Arabidopsis thaliana: one gene and its partner. The protein of the gene in region 2 interacts with the protein of the main gene of each other region in a pairwise test. Each region holds a gene or a part of one and is shown on either strand. Other genes may lie near its edges.

Region 1 (6,490 bases), on a different chromosome or scaffold from region 2:
AATCTGTTTTAAGAGCATTGGGAATAATGTGAGATCTGCTAGCAGCGTAACCCTCCTGCAAAAATCCAAGGAGCAGAGCTTTTTAACTTTGTACCTTCAGATCAGTTTCTTCAGAGATCAAAGCTGTGAGAATCTAACTACTATTTACCTTAACTAGTGCACTCATCATCTTCTTCAACGGAGGTGAGTTCATCTTCGCACGGCTCGCCATCTAATCACGAAAACAAATCTTTTATCATGTAATGTGAATGAAATGCGTCTATCTTATCAATGAAATTAAAATCATGGTTTTAGAGGACCTCATCCATTTTTGTGTATCCAGGTGGTAGTCTGGGATCACTTTCTTCAATCATTATACTGAGAAGCTTGTCCAGATCCATGCCAGTGCCTTCACTGACCCATCCCCATTCCTTTGCCAATTCCAGCATTTCCGTAACATAGGATGCATCATGAAGCGGTCCGAGCCACATTGGTCCTGACACAACCAGTGAAGAAGAAGCCTTTGTATCACTGCAGGGACATCCCATCAAACCAAGTTCATCGAATCTCAATGTATGAGAATGGCCACATAGATTACAGTGCGTGACAAAACCATAGTTCCTACAGTTAAAAGACACAAAACAACTCCAATTAGAAACGCAACATAACCAAAACTCAATTCCTTTCGAGTCAAATTCTAAATGTAGAAACAACCTGTCCTCATGTAGCTTCCCACGGTGAACCCTCAGCATGACTCTAAACACAGGTCCGTGATAAGAATAGTACGAGAAAAGAGGCGTAACATGATAACCAAGCAGAGCAGCTTCTCTCACTGCTCCACCTATAAGCATCCGCAGCCCAATCTCATTCCCAAACGGCATTGGTCGAATAAATGCTCCATAAGCTGCTAAAGAACTACACCAAAACAAACCAAGAAATTTTTCAACTTTCAATCTCCTAGTCCCTAAATCATATCATGATTCCTAAAATACCACAAAGACTAATGGTATTGCTTTCACTCACTTATAAGGTCTGTGACCACCAGAAGAGTAACCATCAGTCGACGTCAAGTAAAGCAAACCACCCAATCTCAATGCATTAAACGCATCTCTCAAAAACGAAGAATCACTTCCAAACGAATCAATATCAATCATATCGAAGAAATCCGCAACCATATATCTCTCAATCATCGCTTTATTAGCCAACATATGAGTCACAACCCATCTCCTCTCATCTCCAGTACCTCTCTCTACTTTACTCAAATTATCCGTAATCACTCTCCGATTATCATCATTTGCGTCGTTCGCCATCACGAAATCAGCTTCAGCTTCCACAAGATAACGAAGCGACCTAATTCCACATCCGCACATTGCGTCGAGTACCCGTAAGCTTCCATTAGATCTCTTGTATAGCGTCGCTGACAAAACACCGAGGTCTCGTCCTCTAGCGCTTTCATGGCGGAAAAATGTCTCTCCCGTTTCAAATTCGAGATTCCTCTCAATTTGAACCTCGGATTTCACTAAAATTCGATCAAAACTACATTTCAAGCTCTTGAATCGACATGAATCTGGAGATTTACATTTAGGGTTTTGCGATTTGTGCACAGTGAAGAAGGAAGAAGAAGATAGGGTTTTAGGAGAGAGAGTCAACAACATAGCGGGAAAAAAAAAATCTGATTGTTTTGCTTGATTTTTTTTTTTAATCGTCTATCTAAATTAGTCCGTCCGATATTATGCCACGTGTACGGAAGAGATAAAAACCTCGTATTAGTAGGCCACGTCGTCAATCTTATGATTAGTTGGGTCCCACTTGTGTAATCGTCTATACTCGAGTCCACCTAAAGATACGATACACTTTTTTCCCTTTCATGGAATTGAGTTTCTACTGTTTCTGGAATTCTGGGTTTTGGAATTTGGAGAAATTAGGGTTTTTGTTGAATCATTCAAAAACATTGACCATGAAGATCATAGAGACTAAGAGTCTCCAACAAGAATGAAGAAAATCTATTTTTTTTCTTGGGTTGAAAATTATTTGAGAGGAGCAGGTGAAGTTAATTTTTTTCTCATTGATACAAAAATGGCAGATTGTTTTAGAGTCTCCACTATTATGAACCTTCCATAATTTTTTATTTTATTTTTGCTTATATTATCCCTTAATTTTTTGTCTTGGTGATAATTCTCTTTCTCCCCTCAATTAAAAAAAAGTTTATAGTATCGGTTTCTCTTCTCCTGATCAATGAATACAAATCGGTATTCGTAAACAATCCCTTCCGTTTCATTTTACTGACTCATATCTGTTTTTATCTGGGTTTTTATTTCTTTTCCCCTTTGTGTTTCAAAAAAGTTTTTGGTGTAACGTTTATTATCCATAAGATCCAAAAAAAACTAAAGCTGGAAATTTTGTTTCGAGGTGAGATAATCTTTGCTTAATCTTTAGGAATCCAATGAATACAAGCTTAATTTGCCTCTTAATCCTCGTTATCGGAGAAAGCAAAATGATGTTTCGTGTGAATCTCGTTTTTTGATTTTTGGGGTTTTCTCTTTTGTCTTAATCCATCTTCGTGGTCCTTGTGAAGCTTAAAGATGAAAACCAAAATGTCATATTTTTTTTCGTGTGAAAATGTCGATTCGTTACAAATCTTAAACCCTGTTCCAAGTTTTGATTTTTTTTGTTTGTTTGTTAGCAGGAATTAAAGCTTCTTGAATATTCAAAGATTAGCCCAAAGAATCTCTGGACAACTGGTCTAAAACCGCAGGTACGCCTTTCACTACTTAAACCTCTCAATTTTGTCAACAAAAAAAAATGATTTTGGAAGAGACAGAGCTGAGACTTCTGAGCTAATAGTCATTTTTTCCTAAGGTATAATCATCACTCACGCAGGATAGTTTAGCTGTTTTGTTTTGTTTTCCTTTATAAATATTCGATTTTGCTCTGAGAAGCTAAACATTAGGGTACCTACCTAACACTGAATTCACTATTGGCATGCTCTGTTTCATTTTTTTATGTCTCTTGCTTAGGATGTAATCTCACTCACTCTCTGGATTAGCCTCGATTGTTCTTAATCAAATTTGGGAGCTCTAGTTATTAGACAATCAACTTTTACCTTGACTTCATTTTTTTCTTTTTCTCTGTCTAATGTGATGACAAAAAGGCCAATTTGAAATATTTTGTAATTCTGTTTGTTCTGTTGTTTGTAGATATCATAATTATATAAGGGGCTCATTGAGTTGTTGAGGATTCCTGTGTTATCACTCTGATGTTAGTTTGAAGTTATGCGCACATGGGTGAAATTCAAGAAAGATTGTCAGTTTCATCATCTTCGTCTTCTTCATCATCCTCATTGTCACTATCAACGGCACTACCTAAAGGAGATTCATTGCCGATAGATGCAGATTCTTGGATGATTGCAGAGGAGAGAGCTCATGAGATACTTTGCACTATCCAACCTGCCCTTGTTTCAGACAGAAGTAGGAATGAGATCATTGATTATGTACGAACTCTTATCATGAGTCATGAGGGAATTGAGGTTAGAAACTCCGCTTCTCTTTGCTGACATGTTAAAGATTTATGCTGTTTTGTTAACTTTCTATGGGAACTTGTTTATCTACAGGTCTTTTCATTTGGTTCAGTGCCACTAAAAACCTATCTCCCGGACGGGGATATCGATCTGACTGTCCTAACTAAGCAAAATATGGATGACGATTTTTATGGACAATTGTGCAGTAGGCTTCAGAATGAAGAAAGAGAATCTGAATTCCATGCAACAGATGTTCAGTTTATCCCTGCACAGGTCTCTTTGTTTATTTACTTTTTGGTTTCGTTTTTGTATTTTCTTGGTTGCCCAAATTTTCCTTAAGAAAGTTTGCTGATATATGATAGGTCAAGGTCATAAAATGCAATATCAGGAACATTGCTGTTGATATCTCTTTTAATCAAACGGCAGGTCTCTGTGCTTTATGTTTTCTGGAGCAGGTACTATCAGCTATTCAAAATCAGGCTCCAGAGGTTTACTAAACAGATTATTGCCTAGCTTTGATTCTTAGTTGTTGGTTAAACTCTGGTTTTATGTATTCTCAGGTTGACCAACTCTTTGGGAGAGATCATCTTTTCAAGCGTAGCATCATCCTTGTCAAAGCTTGGTGCTATTACGAGAGTCGAATTCTTGGTGCTAACACTGGATTGATCTCAACATATGCATTGGCAGTACTAGTTTTGTACATCATCAACCTGTTTCATTCATCTTTATCTGGCCCTTTAGCGGTAATCACTCTTTTTCTGAACCTTCAGCATCCTCTACATATATGCAAAAGATGAGAATATAGCATTGTCTTTCAACAGGTTCTGTATAAGTTCTTGGATTACTATGGTTCATTTGATTGGAACAACTACTGTATCAGTGTCAATGGTCCTGTGCCAATATCGTCCCTTCCAGAACTTACAGGTAAGGATGATGCCAAAAATCACAGATACTTCTCTTCGTGGCATTTTCTTGGCGCTATTTGACGTTTTAATTTGGTTCTTTCTCTTTCTATCTTTCCAGCAGCATCTCCAGAAAATGGGCATGAGTTATTACTTGACGAGAAGTTTTTAAGAAACTGTGTAGAGTTATATTCTGCTCCAACTAAAGCTGTTGACTCAAATGGTCTTGAGTTTCCTATCAAACATCTCAACATAGTTGATCCTCTAAAATACAGCAACAACCTCGGCAAAAGTGTTACACAAGGTACTCTATTGATAAAAGTTATACAACCAATATAGCAGTTGTCAAATATTAATTATTTTAAAAACATTTTGTTAGGAAATGTCCAACGAATAAGACATGCTTTTACACTTGGAGCTCGAAAGCTAAGAGATGTTCTTTCACTACCTGGTGACACCATGGGATGGAGATTGGAGAAGTTCTTTCGTAACTCTTTGGAGAGAAATGGTAAGGGACAAAGGCAAGATGTGAATGATCCCGTTACTGCTTTCGGTACTGGAAGATCAGAATTATCTGAACTTAGTGGAGATTTCGATAGTTCCTTTGGAAGACTTGTGTATGGGCAAATGTATCATGGGCATAGCTTACCTGGAACATTTCAGCATGGCTATATCCCGGTTAGTTCTCACCTGAGTGGTTGGGATATTGTTCGTCACCTTGTGACTTACCGAAAGAACGAGTTCCATCTTAGAAGTCTCAATGTATCAACCTCTATGCAGCCTTTTCCTTTGCATTCTTTACCTAATGGCTGTCAAAACATGAGAAAGACGAGAGGAACCGGCACTTATATTCCTGACATGGTATGCGATTAACCCCTTTGACGGACATTTTGGCTTAAAAATTAACTTATTGCTGCAAGCTTCTGAATTGCTTCTCAATGGTTGTTGCAGAGTCAACAGGTATACTCTGACAGGTTCAGAGAATCAGGTACTGGAACCTCATCAACGAATCATTTAGAAGCTTCCTCTGAGGCAATAGACAATGATGGAGCCAGTAGTTGCTGCAATCTTTCCGGTGAAGTGTCTACTTCTTGTACCAGTAACAAAGGAGAAGAATGTGTGAGACCAGAGAGTGTGCTGAAATCTCAAAGATCTGCGAATTTGGAGCTTGATGACAATTGCCAATTTCCACCACCAGAAAACCTAGTAGAACCTAGAACTTCAAGCACATTGGTATTGGAAAATGGCAAAGAAGAGAGTATCAGATCCTCCCAAACCATGAACGGCTCTTGACTTTTAGTGACTGTGACCGAAGCTTTGGTTGTTATCTTGACACCTTCAGGATTACTAGGTTCTCTTAACCACATGGACAAACTCTATTTAGTATTCAAAACTCTATATAGGATTCAAAAGATCCATCAGGAACTTGTTTTGACCAATGTTTCATTAGAGATCTCTTCTTCATTGTTGGTAGGTCAGAATATACAAAAGTGGTATAGATTAAGAGTTGATTTGGCATTTGTCTTTTCTTTGGAATCAAGATCCTTCAGACTTTTTATCTAAATTTTTATATGAGATTCAGTTTTACTTCTTGTCACTTCTGGCAATTTGTTTAGAGAGTGACAAACATTTAAAGTTGTCCGGGTAACAACAGGTTTCACGTTTTACAAGATACACGAGTATACAGAAACACAAAGGCAATCTCTGTTCTTTGGGATTTGAATGCCTCACAATAAAGAACTATACATCAGAGTGTGATACTGTCTGGGGAGTGAGAACGTACATATGACAGTCGTGTGCGTCAACTTGAGCTTCAAAGGAGCCAGAAGTATTCTCTGTTACATCTTTGTGCTGCCACAAATCTCTTACTGAAACGCTAATGGTAGATTCAAGACCGATCATATCCCATGATGCTGTAATAGTTGCTGGCTCAGAGCAACGGTTCCAGAGAGCAACTACCATACGGTCACCAGATAAAGGTCCTGACCACACCTGCAATGAAACAGTTATCACCAATTTGAGTCCTTGAGTTTGTTTTTTCTGCTTTCTCTATGAGTTTGATAATTCTGTGACTCCCAATTCATACCTGCTG
Region 2 (6,052 bases):
TTCACAAAAAACAAAAGAAATTGCTGAGAGCTTTCTAGAATCCAACTTGATCATTTACACTTTTTATTAGATGCTATAGCATCTATTTTAGAGACTATGTAGTGAGTTAATTAATCATTTCAATGTCCACTATCCATTTTCTTACACTAATCTATACCACACATGACTCCATTTACCTCGTCGGTAGAATTTTTTAATACAGTTTCAGTAATTGCTAATCACAAATGAAAAAAATACTTAGAACATTGGAAATTAGTAAGAATACAATTGATTTTGAATGAAAGAATCAGCCTCGAGCGTGATTTAGAAAAATAAAATAATTGATAAGATTTTGAATAATTAAACTGGGAAAAAAAGAAGAAAAAGAAGACAGTGTAAAGAAAGAAAGAAAAATTGAAAAGAATAAAAAAGAAGAAGCAAAACGCGAGAGACCGACGCAGTTTTGGCAAACACGCGTCTGTCTAGCAGTAAACGCACTGCTCCGACACAACACTCTTCAGTGTTCGCATACTTCGCTCTTCTTATTTCACTCTCACATTCTCACATTCTTAAAAAATTATTTATTGTACTTGTGTTATAATTATCTTCCTTCTGACTTTTTTTTAGTCTGATAATTAAGTTTACGTCGGTATTGACTCCTAGTCTCCTATGCTGGATTAAATATGACGTCTATTACAAAAACCTTCAACAGTTCAAATCAAGATTGAAACACTTTCTCATAGCAATTTACCTTTTGCTATCCCAATTTTGCAAGTTTTGACTTTCAGCATATTAGCCGAAAACAAATGTTGCAGTCTTGCAGATGAGATATAGATATATATAGCTAAATCAGGTATACTTAATTCTCAGAAATATGTAATATCTTGGTATTAAGTATTCACTCTGTAATTTCCTGTTAATGAATCAATTTAACGACAAAATAAACATGACGGATATTAGTTATTTTCTCATTTCAAAGTAAATTATTTTAGAAAATAATGTTTTATTAGTTCCTCAAAACAAAAACTAGTGATGAAATAGTAAAATCACAATTCCAAAAAAAATGCTTAAATTATTATTTATCGACTGAGAATAAGAACATTTTTCTTTGTTAGAGCTCTAAAAACTATATAATTTGCTATATACTATATATATATATATATATATATTTTTAAAACATATATAATTTGCTATCCTATAAGATATTCTTTGTTTGTGAGAAAAACTAGAAATATATATATATATATTTTTTAAAATAGAGATATATTACCTATAAAAGACATGTAATATCTCTCATAAAATATCTACATAAACTAACCAGTAATCAGCATTAAACAACTCTTTCCGTTTATTATATTTGTGTCTTTACAGTTTCTTAAACCATTATATTAAAAAAAAACATTAAATATATTACGTCAATAACAAAACTTACGAAAAAAAACAAAATCTTATTAATGGCTGTTTTCGAAAAGCTTTATCACTCACCGCACAATTTTAAAAGGGTTTATTTTAGTTGTTATGCCTAACGTCCTCGTGATCTCCAAAATTTCATTTAATCCATATTTAGCTAATTATCTTCTTAGATAAATACATAATGCAAAAAAAAGGTCATCAACACATTCGATGTATAAATAACCAATTTAATTTTTATTTGCAATATGACTAGATTTTTGGTGTACTTGTAAATTTGTAATGACGTAATCATGTCCACATTTTCTAATTTTTTTTTTCTTTGCTATCTATATAAATATACAATTATGATTATTATGTAATAATAAATATCGCAATCCACTCTTTTTTAATTCAGCTAGATACGAGTTGTCTTTTTTTATTAATTATATAATTTATTTATTTGTGTTAGAAAGAAACAAAAGTCTTCAGTTTCATACTTGAGGGGGGTTTTGGTTTATTAAAAAATTGGAAATTAATAACATAATAAATCAAATAAAAAAAGGATCAGAGTGAGTGAAAGAGAAAGAGAAAGAGAAGAAGCGTTTCGTCCTCTTCGTTTCCTTCTTCCATTAATACAAAGCAAATCCTACTCTGAAAGCTTCTTTATTCAACCTCTCTACTTCAGTTTCTCTGTCCCCATTTTTCATCTGAGAGTTAAAACTGTAACCTCAAAATCTGAGATAAAGTCAAAAAAAAAACCCCAGTTTATGATTCTCATTTTCTCTTTATAATCGAAAGCTTCGATTTTTAACAAAACCCAGAATCTGTGTTCTTGTTTTTTTTTTTTTTTGGTGAGAGTTATCTTTTTTTTTTTTGGAATATTGGGTGAGAATCTGAGTAATGGGATTTACATAAAAAGATTCTATGTAAATACTAAAATAATCTGGAAATTATTAAATTTCCAAACTTTGTGTTCCATTTTGTGGACTCAAATTTGTTTATAAAGATCTCAAATCAGAGAGATTGAGACGACCAAGAACAAGCAGAAGAAGAAGAAGAATTGAGAGAATGTGGTGGTGGTCTTCTTCAACTAAAGGTCGTTCGAATCTGGAGAGGTTTCTTTTAGGAATCACTCCTAAGCCTCCTTCCTTCTCTCTTCCTCAGGTAATTTTTTTTTTTTTAATTCTTCATTCTCTTAGACTAATCCTTAATTTGGGGGTAAATTAAGGTCTTAAGCCTCAACTAATCAAATTTTAAAAAACTATTTTAATCGATTGTCTCTCCCCACAAATCTCTCGTCTCTAATCAGCAGATTTTGTCCTAAAGGTCTTATTTTTAATCAAGGGTGATGTATCAGACAACCTAGAACTTGTAATAGTTTAATGATTTGGTGTGAGTTTTCAGATGAGATTTGGGCTATAGAGACAATAATTGCATGGTCCATCAAGGAGAAAAATTATCTATGAAATCTATATCCAATTTAAATGGTGTCACATCAGTTTATGGATTCTATAACACCACGTGGAAACGTGCGACAGAATTGCTTTACTCAACTATTTTTTATATTACTATTATATTCAGTAATCCATTAGCTAAGTACTGAGTTTTGGTTGAATCTTCTTGGTTGCTTTGGTATATCCTCTGGTTCTGTATCATTACAAGGTTGTCTTATTCAGTAATCTTGGTTTATATCTCTGATTATGGATTAAGAGCTCAATACATGTTGGTCTAATAACCTAAAGATCATGTTGTTGCATTTACATTTTGGGGGTAATTAGGAGTTAATGATAGCTAGATTATCAGCTAAACATTGGCTTTCAGTGTGCTGCTTTGTAGTGTGTTAGTTTCAGAGCTTTGTGAGTTGATGATATTAACAATTTGTGGCAGGAACAGGGAAAGGAGGAGATTGAGTATTTCAGGCTTGGTGATCTCTGGGATTGTTATGATGAGATGAGTGCGTATGGCTTTGGCACACAGGTTGATTTAAACAATGGCGAAACCGTTATGCAGTACTACGTCCCGTACCTATCCGCTATCCAAATCCACACTAACAAACCCGCCTTGCTTTCCAGGTTACGTTTCCCACTTGATTCTGTGACATTTTAGTCTGTTGTGATGAAAGTTTGACTATGGAAGTATTAGAACATCTCTTGATGGTTTGTTCTTGGGTGTTGCAGGAACCAGAATGAGGTGGCTGAATCTGAGAGTAGCGAGGGTTGGAGCGATAGTGAGAGTGAAAAGTTGTTGTCAAGGTCAATGAGCAATGATTCAAGCAAAACATGGGATGCTGTCTCTGAAGATTCGGTTTTCGATCCGGATGGTTCACCGTTGCTGAAAGATAGACTTGGTAACCTTGACTTTAAGTACATTGAAAGAGATCCTCCGCACAAGCGGATTCCCTTAACCGACAAGGTTCTCTTCTCTCCTTTCATTTTCATTTCTTAGTAACCTCATTCTCAGTTTTGAAACGAAAGTAACGTTCTTGGTTCTTGTTCAGATAAACGTATTGGTGGAGAAATATCCGGGACTCATGACCTTAAGGAGTGTCGACATGTCTCCTGCAAGTTGGATGGCTGTTGCGTGGTAAGTAGTTCTTTGTTAAGTTAACAAAACCCTTCCTGTTTGGTTAACTGCTAGAAATAGTGATTGAGTGATGGTTTGATGAATTAGGTACCCGATATACCACATCCCAACCTGCAGGAACGAGAAAGATTTGACGACAGGCTTCCTAACTTATCATACTCTATCTTCGTCTTTTCAAGGTACGTATGATCACTTCGAATTCATTGCTCAGTAACAAGCACCATTTTCTGGTTTTATTAATGGTGTTAAAAATGCTGCAGATAATGTGGTGGAAGGAGATCAAAGCAACAACAATGAAGAAACAGAGTTTTGTGAAGATTCCGTAATAAACAAGAGAATGCCATTGCCTCCGTTTGGTGTAACAACTTACAAAATGCAAGGAGATCTTTGGGGGAAGACGGGGTTTGACCAGGACCGGTTGCTTTATCTTCAAAGCGCTGCGGATTCATGGCTGAAACAGCTCAATGTTGATCACCATGACTATAACTTCTTCCTTAACTCGAGCTTCTAAAGATCAATCGGGTCGTTCGTATGTTTATCCTTCTCCAAACCTTAAACAAAAAAAAAAGACCTCATAACCCTTTTTCTTTGTTGTTTTCAAGCTCCTTTTGTTTCTCTGTGTTTTTTGTTCTTTTTGTTTTTGTCTGGCTCGTTGTGTTGTTTTAGGTAGCAACCGCCATCGCGGAGTTTTTTCTCCTTTTGCAAGCCAATCATGGAAGTTTCTAAGAAGAAAACAGAGCTTTTTTTTCTTTTTTTTTAACGGTGTTGAGAAAACAAGAAAGTTGTTTTCTTTTCTTGGGTGAGAGATCATGTAAATTGACCTTGAACAGAGGACTCTGTTTTGTACTTTTCTGTCTAAAATATATAAAAAAATCTGTCTTTCTTGTATGTCGGTATGAGTGGAAGAAGAAGACTGTTTTTGATAGATTTGATATGTCCTTTCGTTTCTTTTCAAGATTTTTTAGTGTTGAATATGATGACGATGTTGTCATACAATATTTACTTAGTAACAGTTGTTGCATACTTTTTTTTCTATGTTCTTTATAATTTAATTTAAATTGTTTCTATGTTCTTTTCGAAGCTTAAAAGAATTGTGCAATCCCAAACTGAAACAGTCAAACTTACTAGTTCAACAAAATTGTTTTGCTATATCGGGCTGATATTTACTGTCGAACACAGGTAAAAAAGTATTTATTTTATTTTTTTGTTGAACACAGGTAGGTATATGCCTACATGGTATACAAATAATATAGACAGTTTCATAACATTTACAATTGTAACATACTGTTTTTACAATTTTTGTTGTCGTTTTCTTATTTATCGTATTAAAATTGATCTTATCCTGAATTTTAAAATTTAGATAACTGACAAACGAAAAGATTAATGCTAATTGTATATGAAATGAAATGTATTGTTGTACATTTTAAATTATATAGACAATTTAATGATATTTACAATCACAACCGATCGTTTTGTCAATTTTTGTTGTCGTTGTATTATTTATTGCATTTATATCGATCGAACCCTAAATTTTACATGTAATTCACTTACAATCAAAAATAATTAATGCTAACTTTATATGAAATTACATGTAGTAAATTTAAAATTATATTGACAATTTCTTCTTTGCATTTTTGTTGGCATTTTCTTATTTATTGCATTCAAATCGATTAAACCCTGAAATTTAACATGTAGATCATTAACAATCAAACATAATTAATGGTAACATTAACATGTAGTAAATTTAAAATACAATACACAATATTTTGATATAATTTTGAGTTTAACCAAATTATCCAACCTATAAAAACACATGCAATGGATTCTTGAAATCTTTATGTCTTTAGCGATTTGAAATGAATTTATGTAGATTTTCATGTGTACACACAATAAGTAATAAAATCTAAATTATCATCTACTTAAAATAAAAACATAAAATTTAATCATAAAATCAATACTAAATATATCAAATCAGTAAACAAAAAATCCTATTTCATATTAATATGTTAAGAAATAAACTTTTATGATTTTTTTTTTCCAACCACTACATTTATGGTTGTTTTTCAAATGTTTTCTTATGATTTTCTGAGTCAATTTT

What was found. The genes of interacting proteins can lie anywhere in the genome.
Region 1: the proteins of AT1G73210 (region 2) and AT3G56320 interact in a two-hybrid assay, tested with the Arabidopsis thaliana proteins (one large-scale study listed by BioGRID).

Annotation. Positions count from the first base shown.
Region 1 is NC_003074.8:20,885,394-20,891,883, reverse strand, and holds AT3G56320 (PAP/OAS1 substrate-binding domain superfamily), read left to right. Parts: upstream 1-2,080; 5' UTR 2,081-2,388; intron 2,389-2,581; exon of another isoform or gene 2,582-2,665; 5' UTR 2,666-2,734; exon of another isoform or gene 2,735-2,930; intron 2,931-3,176; 5' UTR 3,177-3,259; coding exon 3,260-3,505; intron 3,506-3,589; coding exon 3,590-3,769; intron 3,770-3,858; coding exon 3,859-3,951; intron 3,952-4,056; coding exon 4,057-4,239; intron 4,240-4,317; coding exon 4,318-4,420; intron 4,421-4,519; coding exon 4,520-4,702; intron 4,703-4,777; coding exon 4,778-5,259; intron 5,260-5,349; coding exon 5,350-5,691; 3' UTR 5,692-5,990; downstream 5,991-6,490. Other genes in the region: AT3G56330 (N2,N2-dimethylguanosine tRNA methyltransferase), read right to left, coding at 1-55, 149-211, 300-600, 694-894, 1,003-1,634; AT3G56310 (Melibiase family protein), read right to left, coding at 6,139-6,390, 6,485-6,490.
Region 2 is NC_003070.9:27,526,841-27,532,892, reverse strand, and holds AT1G73210 (hypothetical protein (DUF789)), read left to right. Parts: upstream 1-1,940; 5' UTR 1,941-2,439; coding exon 2,440-2,535; intron 2,536-3,258; coding exon 3,259-3,443; intron 3,444-3,548; coding exon 3,549-3,783; intron 3,784-3,868; coding exon 3,869-3,954; intron 3,955-4,041; coding exon 4,042-4,133; intron 4,134-4,214; coding exon 4,215-4,465; 3' UTR 4,466-4,839; exon of another isoform or gene 4,840-4,917; intron 4,918-5,133; 3' UTR 5,134-5,141; downstream 5,142-6,052.